Styela clava: one gene and its partner. The protein of the gene in region 1 purifies or fractionates together with the protein of each later gene. This does not show direct contact. Links are inferred from orthologs where the notes say so. Each region holds a gene or a part of one and is shown in the gene's direction. Other genes may lie near its edges.

The links.
Region 2: the proteins of sugar phosphate exchanger 3-like (region 1) and all-trans retinoic acid-induced differentiation factor-like purify together in Homo sapiens (affinity purification with mass spectrometry; 3 studies listed by BioGRID and IntAct, counting the BioPlex papers as one, with this or other methods). This does not show direct contact. The link is inferred for Styela clava from reciprocal best matches to the Homo sapiens genes SLC37A3 and ATRAID.

The regions. Positions count from the first base shown.
Region 1 is NC_135260.1:15,858,708-15,865,454, forward strand, and holds sugar phosphate exchanger 3-like, read left to right. Parts: upstream 1-3,956; 5' UTR 3,957-4,074; coding exon 4,075-5,646; 3' UTR 5,647-6,099; downstream 6,100-6,747. Other genes in the region: vacuolar fusion protein CCZ1 homolog, read left to right, coding at 6,100-6,336. UniProt on the Homo sapiens protein: Unlike the other SLC37 members, lacks glucose-6-phosphate antiporter activity.
Region 2 is NC_135257.1:1,748,921-1,756,610, forward strand, and holds all-trans retinoic acid-induced differentiation factor-like, read left to right. Parts: upstream 1-4,640; 5' UTR 4,641-4,721; coding exon 4,722-4,784; intron 4,785-5,015; coding exon 5,016-5,149; intron 5,150-5,530; coding exon 5,531-5,602; intron 5,603-5,944; coding exon 5,945-6,016; intron 6,017-6,499; coding exon 6,500-6,648; intron 6,649-7,105; coding exon 7,106-7,305; 3' UTR 7,306-7,566; downstream 7,567-7,690. Other genes in the region: programmed cell death protein 5-like, read left to right, coding at 3,599-3,970. UniProt on the Homo sapiens protein: Promotes osteoblast cell differentiation and terminal mineralization. Plays a role in inducing the cell cycle arrest via inhibiting CCND1 expression in all-trans-retinoic acid (ATRA) signal pathway.

The DNA.
Region 1 (6,747 bases):
TACGCTTCAGCGTGCTGAATGTTCGCTCTGCGTCGGCGGAAGAAATAGGCGTCGTCAAAATGATGTCCAGAAATTTTGCAGACGCCGCAAAGGTAGTTACTAGAGTGTTATCTATGAGGAACCCATAGAGCGCGCAAGTTGATGTGATGTTCAAAAAAGTTTGATTGGTGTATATACATCGCAATTCATTTTCCAATTTACCCACGTTTATCATGGGGTAAAATTTGGAGACAGTAGCCAACAAATGGATGGGAAATTGACGTGCAAATTTTGAAAAATTTTTGGGGTTCATCAAAGAGAACGCGGCAAGGTGTTCAGTGCGCAGACGATCGCCTATTTGATTCACCAGAATGTCACAGCATTCCTTTGCAGACAAAATCAAACGCTGCGTTGTTTGCCCGCGGCGTAAAGAAGCACTCCATGTGTCGTCGTATTTTATTGTTTCCCGGATACGAGATACAGCATCGCAGAAGTCTGAAATACACGACTGCACAGACGCGCCACCCATTAGCCTTGACTGCAATGCGCCGTATAATACATCCACGTGATAGAATATTGTGGAGAAAAAATGAAAACTCACCATCTTCTAGCAGACGCTTTAGACCTGCCGCCTCCCTCACAGAGCGTTCGTCCCAAACCGGAGAGCTCTGAATGCCATTGAAACACTCAATGAGCTCAGACTTAATTTTGGACACGCCCTGCACCACGCCTGATTGGAAGTTCCAACGTGTTGGTGCACAAGTTGGGAGACGGCGGCTACATATCTGGCGAAGGAAGTCAGAGCGCTTCGGCGAAACGGAAAAAAATGAAGAAAACCCCGAAACATTTGCAAAAAATATACGGATGAGAGGGGTATCAAGACACATATTTTTTAATAACGAGGTTAAATTGGTGTGCATAACAATGTAAAAAATGCGCATGAGGAAAATCTTCTTTTATATAAACTTGAACACCATGTTTCGACCCACTCATGACTGCCGCGCCGTCATAAGTTTGAGCTATCAATTTTGACTTCGCGTTGTAAGGCTGTAACACTTCTTTCAGTACAGCCGATATCCCGCAAGCCGTGCGATCAACGATTGGTACATAGCTGTGAAATCTCTCGGTAGGTTTACCATCTTTCACAAACCGAAAAATCACAGCCAGTTGGGAAACGCACGTGATGTCAGTTGTCTCGTCAGACTGAATCGAAAGGAACTGGCAATTCTCAATTTCCAGAGCCAAATGTTGTAAATAAATTTTATACATTGAGTCGAGCAAATCATTTTGGATATCCTTAGATGTCCCTTTCGAAACAGTTGCGGCATCAAGATGATCTCCCAATACTGTATCTAGGGATGCGGTGTATTCCACCATATCCAAAAATACCCCTCTATTAGAAGAGCCAGCCCGTTCATCGTGCCCACGGAGGGACAGCTCGTGACAACCAATGAACTTCAAAACATCTATCAATCGACCGAGAACATGGCGGTTTTTCTCGACGTTTTGGTTGTGCCGACGAATAGAAACCGCGCTGCAATATTAACATTTCCGAATGTTCGGTATTTTACTGCATTGTCCAGATGCTCCATAGAAGATTGATGATCCTTGGCACGCTCGGAAAGATGTTTAAGATCTCTAAAACCAAATTTACACCAACGTGAGTCACGGGCGGTAGCAAAAAGTAGGCAATAAAAACAAAAAAGTGCATTTTGTCCTCGCTGTAACACAACCATTCGTGTTTTTTATACCAAGTTTCTGCGCAGAATGTACGCCGACGCTTTTCTCCGTCATGGGATTGTTCCAGTGAACAATTTTTTGGTTGATAAGGCCCAAGACGTTGTACCTCTAATTTTTGTTCCAGCGGCAACTGCGAAAACGGAGTGCGAAGTAGTGCATCAACCTTATTCATTATGAGGTCTAAGGCTAAGAAATGCGAAGCCGGAAAGAAGTGAGGAGCTCAAAAGGAATGTGGAAAATCGAAAGCAAATGGACTAAAGGGGTCTAACTGATTCAAATAGTGAAACGAGCGACAAAAACGAAGGCGAGGAAACTATCAACTCTTCAAGCAACCAACGAACGAGAAGGAATGCGTGAATATGTCAACACGTTGTTGTAAGAAACGTCGGCATTGTGTCGTCATAATTTCGGGGCTAGCCCCGACAGCCCGATCGACCCGGATGATTTAGTAAAAGAAACAGAAAATAAACGAGATAAACGCGGCGAGTGGAAGATAAAAGAGAGAATACGATATACAATGAGCAACCGGGGCAAAATCGGCGTCGCCCCGTCGACGTTCGGCGAAGGCTTTGCGAGCGAAAAATGAACCATGTCGGGGGAATATGGCTAGTGTAGACAGTCTGTGCAACCGATATTGAGGTATTTTTCGAATATTTTTTATTATACCGAAAATAACCGGGGCATTGCCCCGGCCCCCGGTTGGCCCTATTGACGCGCTGCCACTGATAACCGTTAACCATCTGAAATCGGTAAACCATTCCCAGCCCTAGTCAGCCAAAAACACAACATAGCGCCGTTATGGATCATATTTTCATTGCAAAAATTTTAACGTTGCTTATGGGATAGTTTTGGAGAGTTGGCGCTTACAAATTGGCTCACATGTTTAAAACTCATTTTTATTCAAAACAATAAACCACGTGGCGCTGATAGCTAATATTAAGGTAGTCTATCGCAGGGCTACTCAACTATTTTTATCGAAGGTCCGCAAACAAAACTTCAAAATTATTTGGGTCCGGTCTTTCCAGAACTGATATTTCGGCATCCTTAAACGAGCACTTCCTCGACCGACTAATGATTAGTAGCAAATTAAAATTGTTTATTACGGTGTTATAGTTCTTTTCGTATATATTCAAAACTATGAAAGTCATTTTATAATAGAAAATTCAAAAAGTGGGGCTAATGATTCAAAATAAATAATTAGGTGCGGTCCAAATACAATACTCGAAAGGTCCGGATTCGGACCGCGGTCCGCCAGTTGAGTAGCCCTGGTCTATCGCATCGTTTGCGATATCAATTTTGGATTATTGTTGTAACTAAACTAAAGGTCCTCAGAATACATAATTGCAGTTAAGGTATTTGATTTAAAACTATGTTTTGGAAACACAACTAAAAACTGACGAATAAGACGCAAACCTACTAAAACGAGGCAATGTTTACAATCATGCTTGAATATCTGTCTGAGCGGAAAAGTGTCTCTGAGCGGCGGCTTATATTCCAATTACACGTCATTGTTAGCTTTTTGCTCATTTGTAATTGTAGGTAAATAAAAAGGACGTAAACAGGATCGGTCTCATCGGAAGAATTGACAAAAGGAATAGGTATAAAGGATGAAACATTGTCTATATGAAAGAAAATAGACATGGCGAGTTAGCCCTCTCTCGAACTCGCGATGTCGATCAACAAATATAAAAAAAATAGACATGGCAAGTTAGCCCTCTCGAACTCGTGATGTCGTTCAACAAATATAAACAAATAGTCATGGCGAGTTAGCCCTCTCTCTCTCTCTCGAACTCGCGATGTCGATCAACAAATAAAAAGAAAATAGACATGGCGAGCTAGCTCTCTCGGAAGAAAGCTCGCATCTAGGGTTAGTTCGGATACCACGATATGACAATGGCCCATGGCAGTAGGCTATATGGGGGTTCTTGGGGGGTGGAGGCTAACTCGCCATGGACCACTCGCCATGCGACGGCGGTTAACGGGTATGCCTGCAACTGCACGAAGGCTCTTCCTGTAATGGGAGATGGAAAGGTGGCTGTTTCCACTTACAACTTATAAACTAATCTATCACAAAAATTTGAGAAAGTGAGCATAAATCTGAAGCGTTAGAAGTCTTCAGTTTACTTTTTTCATGTGTCCTACAGAACATTCATATCATTCTTCTTGGTTTATTCTTTTTTTTTTCAGTACTTTTTTATCCCTATTATTCTCACAGTCATAACTGGATCATAAAATTGTTTAGTTTACAGCATTTGACTAATTACAGATTATAAATGTTAATAATGTATATATATTATAGAATTACCATGAAACAAAAATTCTGCTGACATTGACTGATTTAATAAATGTATCAAAATGTGGTCACATCATCAAATTGTGGCATTTGTTCTAACATATTGTGTGTATACAATATTTCATGCATCAAGAAAGGCTTACAGTGATTCTAAAGATTCATTTTCAAAAGAATGGACTCCACTATCATGTAATTTATCATGGCCTTGCCCAAGGCCTGAAGAAATATGGGAGGACAGACAATTGTTCTCAAGCTATGCATCAGCAGAACCCTTTCTTGGGCTCTTGGATTCTTTATTTTTAGTCTCCTATGCTATTGGAATGTATTTTACAAGCTTTCTTGCTGACAGAGTGGAACTGCGAAAAGCATTGGCCATAGCAATGTTTTTATCTGGCATACTTTTATTTTGTTTTGGAGTTTTAACTCAAATGTTACACTTTTACAATAAAGGATTTTACATATCCATGTGGATTTTACAGGGAATTATACAATCAGTTGGTTGGCCAACTTGTGTCGCAGTTGTTGGCAATTGGTTTGGTAAATCTGGGAGAGGCCTTGTGTTTGGAATTTGGGCATCATGTGCATCGGTTGGTAATGTTATTGGAAATGTCATCACATCTTCAGTTATTAATTATGGTTATGAATATGCATTTCTTACCATATCTGTTATGATGTTGGGTGGAGGACTGGTCGTGGTGTTCGGCCTTGTGAATACACCACTTGAAGTAGGTCTTCCTCCACCGGTTGAGACAGAATCTTTGGATAGAAGAACTCTAGATGATGAAGATTCCCAACCTCTTGAAGATGATTTCAATTCTGAAGACGACATGAATGTACCTACTAATGCAATTTTGGAGACTGTAGATAAAGACAATGCACTTACAAATACCACATTGGAAAATGAAAACACTGAAATTGCAATGTTGTCTAATAGTCATCAAAAGGAATCTCAACCATTGTCTTTTCTAAATGCTCTATTCTTACCTGGAGTTATACCTTATTCTCTCAGCTTCGCGTGCTTGAAATTAGTCAACTATGCATTTCTTTTCTGGCTACCGTATTATTTAACCAATCATTTCCAGTGGGATGATTCACTTGCATCTAGTGTCTCCACATGGTATGATGTTGGAGGAATAGCTGGTGGAATTATTGCAGGTGTACTGTCAGATGTTTTCAAAACTCGAAGCTTAGTTTTATTTTTCATGCTTCTTGGTTCGCCTTTTGCATTGTGGGGATATAAATCATCGCCAAACGATGTTGTCATTAACAGTATATTGATGTCCATCGTTGGATTCTTAATCAATGGTGTATCAAATATTTTATCTTCTGCAATTGCTGTAGATATCGCAAAACGGGAAGCTGTTGGTGAACACTCTCTAGCAACTGTAACAGGGATTATAGATGGAACTGGAAGCCTTGGTGCAGCAATTGGTCAATACCTTGTAGCAGTTATACAATCAAATTATGGTTGGAATTGGGTTTTCAATTTGTTTATTATTTCCAATGTAACAAGCTTGATATGCCTTTTTCCAATTTTTTATAATGATTTTGTGAAGCATTCTGCTTGTGCCAATCGTTTATTTGAAAGGTTACTCTCATTTCGTTCAAGCTATCGAAGAATTGATGAAAACTAGTGTAGCTTGTATTGCTTTTGTATGTTATGTATTAAAAAGATCTTGGTTTTGTGTATAATATATACTGTATGTTTATGTAGTGATATTTGTGACTTATAATACTAATAATGTGTCAATAAAAATGTGATTTGATAACCTATAGCCTCTGCGCTCTACCGCATGTATAAGGATCTTGCCATATTTTGGATGTTTTTTTTCTGTATTGTGTTGTTACTGTGTATAATGTATGCCTTTTCATGTTGGGGATTATGAGTTGAATATTATGGATTTAATTGCCAAATTAATAAATTGGTCATTTCTATATAGCAAGACTTTGTATCACGCTTTGATTAATGTTATGTATAAAATAGAGACTACTATATTTACTATTCACGGTATATAATAACCCTTTCCCAGAGTCGAATAATTTGTTTGTTTTCTTCATTCGTTCAACTCTATTGTGAAACTGATGTTATGATTCCTATTTTGACTGATAGTATTTTTATTTTTCCTCATATTATTAAAGTGCAATTTTTATTTCTTGAATTCATATTGGTACTCAACATTCATTTCAGTTCTTCAATATTTAAATATTGTATATATAATACTACGATTAATGATTTGTTATCATTGAACCGCTGTAATATGGCAACAGCAAAGTTGTCCTCTTTTCTAATATATAACCCTACTTATGGACCGAAAGAAGGCCAGGTTAGTATTACATGACATGTTTATTATGGTATTTACAGTAATTAATATTTTTAAATATTGTAGTCTAGATTGGGTGTGTGCAACCTGTGGCCCGCAGGTCAAATGCGGCCCGCAAAGAAAAATTGTGTGGCCTGTGAAACGAGTTTTTCATTTAGTTTAATCTGTTTTTTGTGCCTTCAACTATTAGATAGCCTATGTTAAATAAAGGTGCAGTGTGCGGTTTCACCCAGTCATTTGCATCTGGCCGGCCCTCCTGTATTAAAGGTCGCCCACCCCTGTTGTAGATGATTGCCACTCATGCACACCTTAATCCAAATCTGCTTTTCCGGGATTTGAAAGTTTAGGCATTTGATCATTCAGTAATAGTAAATCTCATCAGGCTATATGTGTATGTACAGGTTTAGTGAATAA
Region 2 (7,690 bases), on another chromosome or scaffold:
GAAATATCAGCTGTAGCGAATTTTTCGAAGGAGGGGTGAAAATGATGAACATTAGGAATCAAATTAAAGCTTTACAGGTAAAATGGGTGTTAAAATTGCTTGAAGGTTGTAATAATCCATGGTCTCAGAGAGCAAAGTATTTTGTAAATAACTATTTTGATGTATTATCGAAAGGTAACTTAGAATGCTTGTATTTGAACTTTAAATTGGAAACCAATATACATATACCGAAATTTTATACTAGTATAATCAACTCATACAAACAAATTGGCTTAAAATGGAATCAACCACAAAATATAGCAGAAATATCACAGGAAATAATTTGGCACAATCCTCTAATATTAGATAGAAATAATATTGAAATAACTGCTAAATCAAATTGGGTTCAGGCAAAAATAATTACTGTTAGTGATATCTTTGGCAAAACAATATATGATATTTCCAAAAGAGTGTACCCCCAGCTAGAAAACTCTGCAATAAGTACTTTAAGAAAAAACTGCTTGATAAATAAGTGCAAAAATGAATTACGGCAAATATGGGAAGCACTTCCAATAGAATGGAGAGAGATTTTATCAAGGAATAGGGAATTTGGTCAAACAAGAATATTAATTGATAGGTACAATGGGTCGAAAGACTTGACCACTAATCAAATTTATAGGATTTTACAAAGTAAGAAAAATGATACATTTTTGAAAAACCATAAGGAATACATCTTTAATAAATTTCACCTAACTAAGGCAATTAATTGGAATAAAATATGGAAAATAAATATTGGAAACAAGTATAAAGAGTTATGTTGGAAGTTAATTCATAATGGGTTGCCCACTGGAGACAAAATAAAACACTGGTTCATTGATGAACCAGGAATGTGTGTCTTATGCGAAAATTATGTTGAAGAAACTGTGTGTCATTTATTTTTAGAATGTGACTGGTCTATTGATTTTTGGCAATGGTGTTGCATAGATATTAATCAAAATACTATTATAGCAAACGATTCGGAATGCAAATCAAAATTAATCGCAATATTATGCGGAAAATCAACAATTTGGGAATATCGAAATTCAGTAAAATATGATGAAATAGATAAAATGAAAAGTAGTATGCGTTCAATTTTCAAGTGTAAACTGGTAGGGATTTTAAATTTACTAAAAGAAAGCGAAAGAAATGAATTATTGTTATATGAGCACATGGATGATCTTTTACATAGGTCAATCATGATGTAAGTTTATATGCAACACCATACTCTGAAAATTATTGAAAGTATGTTATCTGTACATCATTTTCATAAGAGGAAGATGTATCGACTATGAAACATAGATGGCGAATGGGAAAAACCCAATATGAAAGCGTGGATTTTTCCATATTCTCTGTCTAATTTTTGTATTCTTGTATTTTTCATGCTAACTAAAAAATTAAAATAAAAACTGATTACCTGTAAATTAAAATTATATTCAACCAACTGATGAGTGGATTACATGTAGATTAACTCAACTTTTTTGGACATATATTGGATTATATTAAATTAATGACATCATGGTAATGGTATGAATTTTGTCTTTATTTTGATTTTTACTATTCATATGTATGGGGGAAATGGGATTAAATTAAAAAATGATAAACAAAAACATGGAAACAAAAAAATATCTATTTATATATTTATAATAAAATGATTTGATACCAAAATATTAATACGAAAATTCCGTTTGGCATTGGAATTTATTTGGCACGAAAAAAAAAAAAAAAAGTATTTTGAAGAGTTCGCGGAGCCCCTGGGTTTCTCTCGCGGAGCCCCGGGGCTCCGTACGGAGCACTTTGAGAACCTATGGACTACGGTACCGTACCTGTATTCTAGTTCTGTCTCAAGGCGGCAGGCATACCTACCGGTATTAGTAAATTTGGATAATTTATTCAGTTTGGTACCGTATTTGCTGGCAGTATAAAATTATAACGGCCCGCAGTGCAGTAGTAACATAAAAAGCTCAGTGAACTAGCGCTCAGCCAGCTGTTTGTTGCCATAGTACCGTACCGTACTAGATCAGTGCGGTACGGTACCTATACCGGTATTCTAGGATTATCTTCAGATAGAACATTTTCATTCCAGCATGTTCTTAGTACTGTAGACCAGGGTTTCCTAAATTTTTTGGGCCGCTGAGGCTGACCCCTGTTTTTGAATCCTATTTTTGACGGACCCCCATTTGCTCATATCACTGTATTACTGTATTAATCTCAGGGCCTAACCAACAAGGAGGGAAAACGTTTTATTCACTGATTTACATCATAAACCACATTACCGGTACTGCATTAATGTAAAGGATGAGGCTGCTTTTCGCACCACAATTTATCGATTCTCGGCGCAATTTGTGACAAGCAAACTGGTAGGTCCGACTCTACGGCAAGTGTTGACCTGTGTTTTGTCATCATATTGGTAAGAGCTGAAAATGCTGCCTCACACATGCACACATGTACAGATGTAAGTCGCTACAAAAGGCAATAAAATTTTAATTGCCTTTTCTGACAGCAATGGATATTCGTCTGCAATGCTCAATGGAAATTTGCAATGGACCTTAGTTTGGCTTGGGTAACCCTGCTGTAGACTAATGTTCTTATGAACTAGTATTTGCTGCTTATTTTTTCAAATTAGGATAGTAAGGAATTGTTCACTTTATTTCAAATTGATTTTAATATGTTTTTCACCGAAATGTTACATGTAAAGGTGAGAGGTCATATTTTCACTTCCTTGTTGATATAAAAGTGTCGAATTGTTTGTGTTTCACAATTGGGAATTGATTCAAGGTTGCCACTCCACAGTACGGCACACTATACAAATCGGGTGACATTGTCCCGATTCAGAGAAACCCATTTCACAGATGATCAGACACCCTCCCTTTGGGAGACGTCTGGACATTGTTGTCCCTCAATATCGGTAAAAATACAGTATAATGAAGTTGCGCAGAATACTACAAAAAAGCGCAATCTAGTAACGTCATCATTGAATTCCTTGGGAAAAAATAATCCGATTTACCGATGGAAAAATTTTTTTAACGTAGCATTCGAGAGTTTTTAGCAAAAAACGGCAATTTTGGTCATGTGACGGCCGCGATTAATTTGGATTATTTTTGAAACAAGCATGGCACGATATGAAGCATCTGTCATGGCCCCTGATGCCCCTCGTTTGTGAGACACATGGAGACGGAGTGTTTGTTTTATTGAGCCAAATGGAGGAAAATTCTTGGAATTTGGATAGTGTGCTGTAGTTCTCCACATGTTTCGAATTCTAATGGCACACCATTCCTTGTATTTGCCAAATTGGTGAATGTGGCACTTGGTTGTTTATATTCAGATATTACAATTGTGTATTTGATATTTCAAATTTAATATTTTCAGGGGCTAACCCTGGACAACTTGAGTTTTACCTTGATATGATCTTCAGATCTTGTTGTACATTTGAACCTGTCTCAAATGCAATTTTTTTATTCTGATTTAGTATTTATCAAGACAAATAAATAAACCTACATTCATATTTTACTGCTTCAGGCCTCATATTAATCCTAATATCATTGTTGACAAATTTTTATGGTGTGGTTGCAGAGTGAATATAATGGAAGACGCAGACTTGGCAGCAATTCGTAATAAGCGAATGCAGGAACTACAAATGAAGGCTGGTGATCCCAATCAAGCCAAACAGCAAGCAGAAGCAAAACAAAAGTATGATGAGCAACTTAACGGTATGCTTACACAAATTTTGACGCAAGATGCAAGAGCTCGTCTTAACAGTATTGCACTTGTAAAGCCTGAAAAAGCAAAGCAGTTGGAAGGAATGTTAATTAATATGGCCCGGTCTGGACAATTGGGTGAAAAAATGACGGAGCAGCAGTTAGTTAAAGTTCTTGAACAAATTAATGATAAAAAACAGCGAACAAAAGTTAAATTCGAAAGAAGAAGAGTAATGGATTCCGATGATTCAGACTGAATTTTTTTCATAAGCTTGGTCATGTATAAATAAATCTTCAGCCCCACTTAATATCACTATTTGTTGTGGAATTGCTTTAAGAGTTTGACATAAGTACAGAGTTTCTGGCATGACTATTCACTACATAGCACTACACAGGACGAAATTTTTTTTTAACTCATTAGAATAGTTGCCTTTAGAATATTTTGTATAAAAATTATGATTTTGTATTATTGTTGATTTGATTTATTGGTTCTGATGCCTTTTGTCACAGATAATGCTTTGAGAAATGTATGACCAGAATGATCTTATTCAAGTATATTGCAAAATCTGACAGTTCAATGTTTGGTTGAATTATAATCAAACCAAGGTATGCGAGATTCCAGTGATAGCTGTCATAGAAAATACACACCATTCTGTTTACAAATATGCTATAGTAACTCTTATTTTGTTTATTATTCCCTTTAAATTTTCCCGATAGAATGCAAAACTAGTTATTAATCTAGGGCTCTACTAAAATGGGAATTTATGAAACAATGTATATTTGAAACAAGAGGCATCAGAATGTTAATTTGTATTTACAATTATTATTTTGGAAAACATTCGAATAAGCTATTTATACAATAACAAGATGGAGACAATGCTTTTTGAGGAGATATTTTAGTGCTAAATAATATCAGCTGTGTGTTAATTTTTTCATCAAAACTTATTATCCATTTTTATTAGCCTTGATATATTTTTTCACTAAATTAATCTTATTAAGGTAATATCAATGAAAATCTTAGTATGGCTTGGAATTTGTATCAGCTTTGGAAAAGGAGTGGTAGATAATGAGGTTAGATGCTTATTATCGACTGTGCTAGTGATGACTTTTATTGAGCTGTAATCTTCAGCTATTAGTTTTCTTGTGTTCAAACATATTTATATTTGTATAGGCCCGGTTAAGCAAGTATGAAATTATTTATCAAATTCAAATCATCTTCGGTTATCTGATGAAATGCTTCTGTTTAGTTTTTTAAAACATTACAAATTGTGTTTACCAATTCCCATGAATATTTCTCTTTAGGATGTCTGTTCCCTGCAATCATGCTCAGATCCATACCCTCCTAATGGATCATTTGTTGACAATTGCAATTCACATCCTATGCTGAGACTTCAGGGACATTGCTGTGAGAACTTCTCATCTGGACATGTTGTCGGGTGAGCTGCCTTAACTTAATATTGAACATAGGTTTATGTAAACCTGTTTTGGTGATCTCATAATAATCAGCAAACTTGTTTTCCAGAGTTATAACTTCAGCATGGATTTCTGAAATGACCCGTTGTTAATAGGCTCGATACAGAAGAGAACGCCTGTTCTTAAAATTTTGAATTCCATCTCTGCTTATATTCAATTTGATATGTTGTATTCAATATGTGTATTTTGCTTCTTTGTTTTTGTCATCAGAAGATCGTCATTATCTGCAGTGCCGTATCAGTTTTATTTATATTAATCATTTTTGTTAGTAGACTGTATATTCAGCCAGTGTGCCACAACCTATGAAATAGATATTTTCATCCTTTAAATGTTCTTTATTTTAGTATTGATCTGTCTTTCTGCAAGCTTCGTAACATCAAAACATTGTTTCATCAATATACTGAAGTTACAAAAATGTGAGAGTCACTTTTGTTAATTTAATTCGGAATTTTAGATTGTCCACTTGTTTGAGATTTGGGTGGTATTTGACTAACTTTGATGTGAATATCAGGTAACTATGGGGTTCAAATATCTTGTATCAATCCAGCACTTTAACAATTTTTTTTTCATGTAATGTTGTGTTACTTCCTCAGACCAGCAGTTCACAACAATGATAGGAAAACTGTAAACTGCTTGTATTAGGATTGTTGCAAAATAATGTTTATGAAAGTGTGATGCAAGGTGTTTGACCCTCTCAATATTATAGTCATTGTGTTGTGATTAATTTTTGTGAACAATATGCATACATTATTTTATAGTAATCTTACAAACAACCCAGATTTGAAGTTTCAAAATACAAGTTTTCTCGGGCTGAAGAAACTTTGTCAAATGTGAGTAACAGTATGCTTTGCATTCGTGTCGCGACTATGGTGGACCAAAATGGCATAGTGCAGTGGTCCCAACGTTTTCAGTGCTCAGTCAATTAAAACAGTCAACATGGTATGGACAACAGTTTTCTCGATAGACTACAATGACATGCAGTTTCCTTGTGCTATTTTGTTATCGTATTATGCATGCAAGGCTCACAATTCAACTCTTTTCACCCAGGGTGCAATAAATTAGTTAATAACGAACTGGAAAGAGATTCTGTAGTAGTACCCTTTTGCCTAATAGTACCTGAGCCTTGTTTACAGTGAAAAATCAAGTGGTTTAGTCAAGTTTGTACAGTAGGAAGGTGCCGGTGGTAAGATACCATCTTTCTGTACTGTCACATACAATTGAAAGTGTTTTCTTATTTTAAACCAAATTTTTAACTTACCTGGAATAATTGCATTCAGTGGAGCAAATGAATATGCATTGTTTGGTAATTTCAGATCAGTAGATAAAAATGTTGAATGCAATAGTCAATGGAATTGGTTCAACAGTTCATGGCAAGCTTGGAACAATACTGAAGATGATAAGCATGACAGAAAATGCATCAATCAAACTAATACCTGCAACTTATTAAAGCAGTATCATAATTGTATGTTTTAATTCTTGTTATTAATATGTACTGAAGGAAAACTTATAAGCATTGGATTTTACAGTGATCACTGTGAAATCAAAATTACTCGAATTTGTGTGACCATAGCAAATGAAATTCAGTCACTTTAAAAAGGGGCCGATTCTTGAAATTGAAATGCAGTAGCCTTAACTTTAATCTTGAGCCTTAAGTAAACAAAACTCCCAAAAAGAACTTGTTTGGATCTTGACGTTGACAACATGATAACCTGAATTTGTATTCTTGAAAGCATTCGTTTAACGAAATCCACTGGCCTTTTGTTCGCTTATTTTCACTAATCTGCCACCTGGACTCACTGCTCTGGTCCGTTTAAGTTGATGGGACCTAATTGGCAATGGTGATATTGGTAACGTTGTCTTCATCTTGCTGCCTAAGTTAGTAAGTAAAATACTTTATTTTCAGATTTTTTTCATTCCAGATACATGTCCAGACAATTCAAATTGTATTAACAATGGACCAGGACAATTTTTATGTGATTGCAAGCATGGTTGGGGAGGTTACAAGTGTTTAAGAAAAACTGATTCAGACTTGAAGCTTCCTATTTTAGCTGGAACAGCTGCTGCAACTGTACTTTTATCCTCCATTTTGTGGTACACACAAAGAAGGCATGTGATATAGTCAACTTGAGACGGTCTGAATTTTTATCCCGCAAACAACTCAAGGCTGCAAAATGAGCAGAAATATGCTAACACCGTGTATCTCATGGGCAACAAGTTAATTCTGAACTGTATAATTTGTATGTCAACTTTATAGAGTGTCATACTCAAATTAATAACTGTGCAATATATTTATGGTTTGATTTTTATCATTATTGTGAGCTTCGATTTTTATCGTTATTGTGAGCTTTTTATAAAAATAAACAAATGTGGTTTTATTGTATCCCTCGAGTATTCCGAGAATCTAGAACAGGGTGGTGCAAGCCCAGGCCCGTGGGCCACATGTGGTCCTCCACTTTATTATCTGTGTCCCGCGTCGCATCGGAGGAGCAGTCGAAAAATTCTCA